2 linked regions of the Struthio camelus genome follow. The protein of the gene in region 2 interacts with the protein of the main gene of each other region in a pairwise test. Links are inferred from orthologs where the notes say so. Each region holds a gene or a part of one and is shown on either strand. Other genes may lie near its edges.

Region 1 (3,740 bases), on a different chromosome or scaffold from region 2:
CCCCGCCGCCGGCTCGGCCAGCGCCGGCCCCTTCGCCGAGGGGCTCCGACCCCCCCTTCCCCCCCCCCCGCACCCCCTTCGCTTTTTGACGTGACGCTCGTTTTCAGCCGAGCGGTCCATTAGCCGCCCCCCCCCCAGCCCCAGCCCCAGCCCCTGCACGCGTAACGGTCGCCCCGAACGCCCACCCCTCCCCCCGCCGGGGTAACGGCCGCCGCCGCGGGGTAACGGCCAGGGCGCCCCGAGGCGTTGATGCCGCCCTCGGCCCCGCTCCCCGGGCGCAGTAAGTCCTCGGCCCCGCGAAGGGCGCGCAATCCCGGGCGGCGGCATTTTAGGGGGAGGCGGAGGAAGGTGTGGGGGGGGGGGCGACGGCACGCGTGCGGCTCGGCTTCCCCCCCTCGCCAAGGAGGGCGACGCGTGAGTGTGTGTGTGTGTGAGTGTGTGCGTGTGTGCGTGTGCGCGCCACAGGCACCTGCTCGGCACTCCAGGCGCACACGTGCAAACACGCCGGCTGCACAGCCCCCACCTAGCTCTAGGTGAGCTCCGATTTAAAAAACAAACAAACAAACAAAAAGAAACAAAAAGTCCCGAACTTACTTATTCCCAAGGAGTCACTAATAACGGCAAATCCACGTAGCACTGGACGGCGATTAGGGCAGATCCACCGGGCGGGCGGAGGGCTCAGCTCGGGGGCGCCCCCGCTCCGGCGGGGCCAGCACCCCGCCGCCGCCGCCGCCTCCCGGCCGCGGGGCCCTCGGCGGTCGCCGCGTCCTAGTCGGCGAGCAGGGGAGATTCCGCTTCTCCCCGCCGCTCCCCTCCTCTCCCGGGGGCCAGGCTGCAACGGTCGCCTTTCCCTATCTCGCTGGTCCGCCGAGCGGGCGCTGCTCTCCGCAGAGGCGGATCGCTCCGTGCTAGCGGGACTCAGAGGGGAACACTTTCTTCGGCCGCCGGGCTCGTCCTAGAGGTGACGAAAAAAAATCAAGCCCTTGCTGCAAATGGTTTGTCTCAGCCTAGCGTAAGGGAGGGAAGCGTCTGGTGCAGGCTGCTGCAGGCACCGGCGAGCAGGATCACCTAGCGAGAGGCACTTGCGAAGGTCTCCAAGAAGACACTGCAGAGCCAGGAACGCGGGATTCCCGCTTTTCTTCCGCCGACTCGGGTTTTTTTAATTTCCCGACTGGAGCAGTCACACGCGATCCTTCCACGCTGGATGTGTGCGTGCACAACAACGTCCCCGGGTCCAGCTCTCTGCTTCACCGCATGGTCCTTGCTGCAAGTCCCTTCTGACCTCAGTGTCGACAAAGTGCAACCGTAATGCCTAATGCAAAAGATGTTTTGGAAGAAATCATGAAGAGACACTTGTTTTCAAGGCACACCTCAGCGACTGTAGCAAGCTGCAAACGAAGCTAGGGGCAGAGTGTAATGGCTCTGAGAGCTCGCTGCAGACTGCCATGTGCTTGCTGTTGCTGTTGGAGGCTGATTGACAGGCTTGGAGCACAGTCAGCGCGTCAGGGAGAAAAGTGCAATATAGGGCAACTCTGGACACACAATTCTTGCACGAAAGCCTTTAAAGACCCCTTAGTATTTCGAGGGGATCAAACAAGGTTCCAGCACGCAAGTGAGATCTGCACTAGGCAAGACGGGCAACTCAAGCGTTGGCACAATTACTTAACTGCAAGTTTTATAATTACCAACAAATTGTGACTGGCTGAACATCGTTTACCAGGGAACGCAGGGGAACGCTCTTCTGCCCGCCGCTCAGCCCAGACGATGCACGGCCAGCTAGTCAGTCAGGCTCGCCGCAGACCACACCACACATCCAGCTCGCGAAGCGAGGCGAACGCAGCGCGCGTTTCGCTCGCGCGTCCTATAAAGCGGTAGCAGCCGAGCAGCCCTGCAGCTCGCATCGCTCCCGTCTGCATCTGCCAGCGCGACCCCCAAGCCTTCAGACCGCGAGGCGAGCTCCGGGAAACCCCTCGCTCCCAGCGCAGCCCCTCGGCACCTGATGCGGCTCCGCACGCGTGCAGCGGCAGCGCGCAACACCGCTCGGGCTTACCTACGGCAAAGGTGAAAGTCCGCTTCCCAAGGCACATTTGCAGCCCCCGGCGCTAGCTCCTCCCCAGGCACTGTAGGCAGCCGCCGCTCCGCGCCGTCCCGCCGCCGTTCCGGAGTGACTCCGGCCGCGCTCCGCCGCCTTTCAGCGCGCAGCCCCCGCCCGCCGCCCGGCCGCGCCCCCGTGATGTCAATGTGTCACTGCGCAGCGCCCCCGAAATCCCGGAGTGGACTTCCGCGCCCTCCCGGGAGCCGCTCCCCCGCCCCGCCGCGCCAGCGCTCCCGCCGGGGCCGCCCCGCGCCCGCCCCCGCCGCCCGGGCCTCCGCCGGCGCGGTGCAGCGCGGCCGCCCGCCCGCCGCCGGGGCCCTGCGCTCGGCTGCCCGGCCCCGCCGCCCGCCGCAGCCCCGGGCAAGCCGGCGGGGGCGGGGGGGGGGCTCCCGGCCGGGGGCGCAGCCACCGACGCCCGCCTTCAAAGGCACGTGCTCAAAATGGGACTCGCATCCCGACCCCGGGAGCGCGGCTGCGGGAAACATTTATGACGTAGCTCTTAAATGAGTTTTTCACTGGTAAGACAAACTTTTCCCTAGTCGCCGCTCATGGGGTGCTTCCCCCGCCTCCCCCCGACCGCTGTCCCAGCTCAGCTCTGCAGCTGCCCCCAGCCGCGGGGCGCCCCACCTGCCCGCCCCCCGCCCCGCCGCCGCCAGCGCCCCGCCGCTCCCGGCCAGCAGGGGGAGCGCAGAGGAGCCCGTGTGCACACGTCCCGCCGAGAGCGTGGCCCGGGGTTGCCGACAAGGAGACTGGCCCGGTCCTCTGGAGCGACTCGGGGGCTACGCTAAAGGTCGAGCTGAAAAACTGCAGGCCCAGGAAAGAGAGATCAACCTTAAATCAACCTTAAAATGCTGTGCAGGGACGAGATTAGAAGTTGTAAATGCCAGACCCCATGGAAAGGGATGCAGGGAGACACTTCGGTTTTGACAGTGAAACCTACAGCAACATCTTTTATAAAGATCTTACAGTTTCCGATGTTTTCCTCTAATGCCGCTTAAACAGTTCAGAGAGATCCCTGCACACAGCGCACTCGTGCACACACACCCACACACTCCTTTTTTAAGGACAGCAGGCCCCATCTGCATGGATGACAGAATACGACAGTGCACAGGCAAATGTAGAAAGAGTGCATTTATTTCTAGGTACCAGTTGATAAAAGAGAGCATTGGTGAGGCTGAAGTCCTACCATGCTCCTCTGGTAATGTTACAGGGAGGTATTTGTATGTGTTTTATCATCGTCTTTCAGGCAGGGTAGAGTCAGATGTAATAGCTATTTGTTTATATTCATAAAATGTTTCTGCTTCTTTCAACCCATGAAAGGAGTAGCTGAGGACTTCACAAAGCATTTAACCTCGTAATTCTGCCATTGGATAGGAAGTGCTCTTCCCATTACGTGATAGATGAGTACTGAAGCACAGAGATGATTACAAGTTACCCCATTATGCTACTTCTCCTTTACTGCCTTACCACACTGGGATCGGCAAGGTTCCATGACAATTTCGTCAGCGTATTTCTGTAATGATGCTGAAGAAATCATAGTGATGTTTTCAAAGCCATTATTTTTATGGGTAAATGTTATCTCTACTCTTTTTTTTTTTTTTGAGTAACTAAAGTGTTTTAAAAGGCAACTAAAAGAACATGGAAA
Region 2 (3,740 bases):
GGAGGCAGGAGCGGAGGCCGAGCCGGAGCGGCCGGCGTGGGGCCAGCCCCTCACAAGACCTGGAAGCGCCAGGACGCCTGGTCCTTGTAGTCGAGGCAGTCGGGGGAGTTGAAGTTGAGTTTCCAGGAGGCGGCGGCGGCGGCAGTGGGCTCCTTGTAGTCCAGGCAGTCGGAGGAGTTGAAGGGCAGCCCGGCGCCGCCGTAGCCCTGGTGGTGGTGGTGGTGATGGTGGTGGTGGTGGCCCGAGCTCTGGCTCAGCGGGTGGTGGTGGTGATGGTGGTGGCCCGACATGGAGGAGGGCCCCATGGGGCTGAGCTGGTGGGGGTGGTGGTGGGAGTGCATGGGCGCCAGGTAGGAGCCGCAATCCACGCCGCCGAAGTAGGACGAGGAGGGCGGCGCCGGGTAGCCTTGCCCGTAGCCCCCGCCTTGGCCGTAGGACACCGGGTAGGTGGCCGAGGAGGCGCCGGCCACCGAGCGCTGCATGCAGGAGGCGCCGCCGGGCGGCAGGGGCTCGGGCACCGTCACGGCCGAGGGCGCCGAGCCCGGCGAGATGGAGGCCGGGCTCCAGATGGACGAGGCCGGCGTGCTGAGCGAGGCGGCGGCGGCCGCCCCCGCCGGGGTGCCCAAGGCCGCCCCGGCGCCCGACGAGTTGGAGCTGGACGAGGAGGACGAGGCCGAGCTGGAGGCGGCCGGCGGCGTGAACTGCCCGCTGCTCTCCGAGCCCGAGCTCTCGCGGGCCGGCGACGACTTCTTCTTGGCCGGGCGGCTCTTGGCCCCGCCGCCGCTCTGCTGCTGCTGCCGGCACTTGGCCCGGCGGTTCTTGAACCAGACCTGGGGCAGGGAGACGGCGGGGCGGCTGTGAGCGCCGGGACCCCCCCCCCACCACCACCACCGTGCCCAGGCACCCACGCCCAGCCGCCAGCACCGCGCTGCCCCCCACCCCAGCCCAGCGCCCACCGGTACCTGCACGCGGGACTCGGGCAGGTTGATCTTGAGGGCCACCTCCTCGCGCATGAAGATGTCGGGGTAGCGGGTCTTGGCGAAGAGGGCCTCCAGCACGTCCAGCTGCGAGCGGGTGAAGGTGGTGCGCTCCCGCCGCTGCTTCCGCGGCGTGGCTGGGGGGGGGGGAGCGGGTCACGCCACCGGCCCGCGGGAACCAGCCCCAGCCGCCGCCGGGGGCCTGGCGAACATCTCCCCTCCCAAACCGCACTCCTCTCCCGCAGCCACCCCGGCCCACGGCGGGCAGCGGCGCCGACGGGAGCCGGGCCAGCAGCACGGGGACGGGGACAGGGACGGCGCAGGTCCGGCCCCGGTGGGAGCGAAAGGGAGATTTCGTTGTATTGAACTAAATCTCCATTTTTCTTTTTAGAAAAAGCCGTTTCTCCTTAAAAATCCCGGCGGGAACGAATGAGCGATGGGGAAAGGGGGTGGGGGGGGGAGGAATTCAACTGGGAGCAGTGCCCCTCTCCCGCCTCGCTCACCAGCCGGGCAGCCCCCCGCGGCACCCTCCCCGCCTCCGAACCCGCCCGCACGGGGGGGACTCACCCGGGTACCCCACGGAGGGATGCAGCAGGTCCATGGCGGGGCCCGTCAGCCCCAGCCCGTTCATGCCGTAAGGGGGCTGTTTAAGGTAAGACATCATGCTAAAAGCTGGGCAGGTTTCCTCCAGAGTACGGCGGCAAAAATAAAAACAAAACCAAACCAAAAATATTGGGGGAGAAGGGGGAAGGAAAAAAAAAAACCAACCACAAGGAGAACCCCCAGAAATGCCCCAAACACGGAGGCAAAAATAAAAAAAATTAAACTAACAATAATTAAAAAAAAATAGAAGAGCGAGCGAGCAAAACCGGTGCCAAAGGAGTTTTCTGTCGTTCCGTCCCGCCGCCACCGACGCGAGGTCCTCAAGCGATCGCCGGGCAAAGAAATAACAACAACAGTAACAATAATAACGAAAAAAAGAAAAGGAAAAAGAAAGTCAAAACGACGCCGAGGACGGGGAAACGAGGCGGCGGACGTCTTCTCGGCGGCGAGGCCGGCGCGCCTGGGGAGAGAGCGGAGAGCGGCGTCAGGGGCCGGCGGCTCCGCGGGCCGCGCAGGGGCCCGAGCGGGGGCGGGGGGGGACTGAAATTATTTCCCCCCCCTCCGCTTAGAGGAAGGCGAGTCGCCCGCAAGCACCGCGAGGCAGCAGCGCCCGGCGATGGGGAGAGATAAAGCAATTATTTAAAAAGATAATTGGATTAGGAGTCCAAAGGAGGTACCGGAGGAGGGAAGTATAATTAATTTAAAAGCGAGCAGACGGGGGACGTTTTAATTAGAAACGGCGAAGAGTTAAGGAGGGGGGGGGGAAAAAGGGGGCAAAGGGAGCGCGGAGGCAGCGCGGAGGCAGCGAGGCCGCGGGGGGCCAAAGGAAAGCGGCAGATAAGCGCGGAGGGAGGAAGGGGCGGGGAGGAGGCCGGGCTCCCCGCGCAGCCTCCGCGGCGGGCGGCGCAGGTGAGGCGGGCGGCGCCGTTGCGTAACTTCGCCGGGCCGCCAAGGGGGCGAGGGAAATAATAAAATAATAATAAGGAGAAGAACGAAACGGGATAAAAATATAAAGCGGCGCTGGGAAGGGGCCGCCCCGTCCCGCGCCGTCGGCGGGGGGCTGCGCGCGCGGGGCAGGGCGGAGCGGGGGCGCGCAGGGGAGGGGGGGGGCGCGCAGGGAGGAGGGGTGGGGGGGGAGGGGAGCGGTGCGGGGAGCCGCGCAGCGCAGCGCGTTACCTCGGCGTCGGGCGGCGCGGAGGGGCGAAGGGAGCCGCGGCCCGGCCGAGGATTGCGGCCCGCGGCGCGGCCCTACCCTTGTATGTGCGCGCCCGCCGCCTGCGTAACGAGCCCGGCGCCAATCCCCGGCCGCTCCGCGCCTGACTGACAGCCGCCGCGGGCCCGGCAGCGCCGCGCCGCGCTGCCTCCGCGCCCCCCCCCCTCCCCGCGCGCGCCGCGCTGCCCCGCGCTGCCCTCCCCGCCGGGGCTTTGCGGCCCGCGGGGACCCTGGCGCCCTCCCTTCTCCGCCCTCCCTCCCCTTTTTGGGGTGAGAAGAAGCCCCTCGCTTTCCTCCCCCCCCCTTTTTTTTTTGGGGGGGGGGAAGTTATGCGGAAAGTTGCACCTGGGAAAGTTGCGCGCGGCGGCTGGCGGCTGGCGGGGCGCTGCGCGGGCTCGGCCGGGCCGCGGACCTTCCGCCGGGCTCCGGGGCGCCGCTTCGGTCGCTCTCTCCAAATCGACTCCTTCTAATTGAAGCGGGAGCTGAAAGCGAGCTAATGTTCAAAGGCGCTGACCGCCGGCCCCAAGCGAACCCCGGGGGGGGTCGTTCCCCCCCTCTTTTCTTTTCTTTTCTTTTCTTTTCTTTTCTTTTCTTTTCTTTCTTTTTTTTCTTTTCTTTCTTTTCTTTTTTTTCTTTTCTTTTCTTTTTTTTCTTTTTTTTTCTTTTTTTCGGGCCGGGAGGGAGGCGAGAGGGGCCGGGGGGAGGTTCACCAGCTCCTCCGCTCGCCCACAGAAGTCAGCGGCACGGGCACTTCTCCCCGCAACAAAGGCGCCGCGGCCCATTCACAAAAAGGAGGAGGAGGAGGAGGAGGAAGGGCGGTGGGGGGGGGGGCAGCCCCCTCTCCCCGTTTGCCCCCCGTCCCGCCGGGGCAGTTTCCAGGCAGGGCCGCCCCCTTCTCTCTCCCCCCACCCCCCCGCTCCCGGTGCCTCCGCGCTCCCCCCCGCGCC

The links.
Region 1: the proteins of OTX1 (region 2) and SPRY1 interact in binary tests that used the Homo sapiens proteins (3 or more experiments, as listed by UniProt). The two-hybrid records come from large-scale screens. The link is inferred for Struthio camelus from reciprocal best matches to the Homo sapiens genes OTX1 and SPRY1.

What each region holds. Positions count from the first base shown.
Region 1 is NC_090945.1:18,748,640-18,752,379, forward strand, and holds the start of SPRY1 (protein sprouty homolog 1), read right to left. Parts: upstream 2,246-3,740; 5' UTR 2,051-2,245; intron 1,313-2,050; exon of another isoform or gene 595-1,312; intron 56-594; exon of another isoform or gene 1-55. UniProt on the Homo sapiens protein: Inhibits fibroblast growth factor (FGF)-induced retinal lens fiber differentiation, probably by inhibiting FGF-mediated phosphorylation of ERK1/2. Inhibits TGFB-induced epithelial-to-mesenchymal transition in lens epithelial cells.
Region 2 is NC_090944.1:140,532,265-140,536,004, reverse strand, and holds the start of OTX1 (homeobox protein OTX1), read right to left. Parts: upstream 2,841-3,740; 5' UTR 2,757-2,840; intron 2,041-2,756; 5' UTR 1,642-2,040; coding exon 1,545-1,641; intron 1,115-1,544; coding exon 963-1,114; intron 831-962; coding exon 51-830; 3' UTR 1-50. UniProt on the Homo sapiens protein: Probably plays a role in the development of the brain and the sense organs. Can bind to the BCD target sequence (BTS): 5'-TCTAATCCC-3'.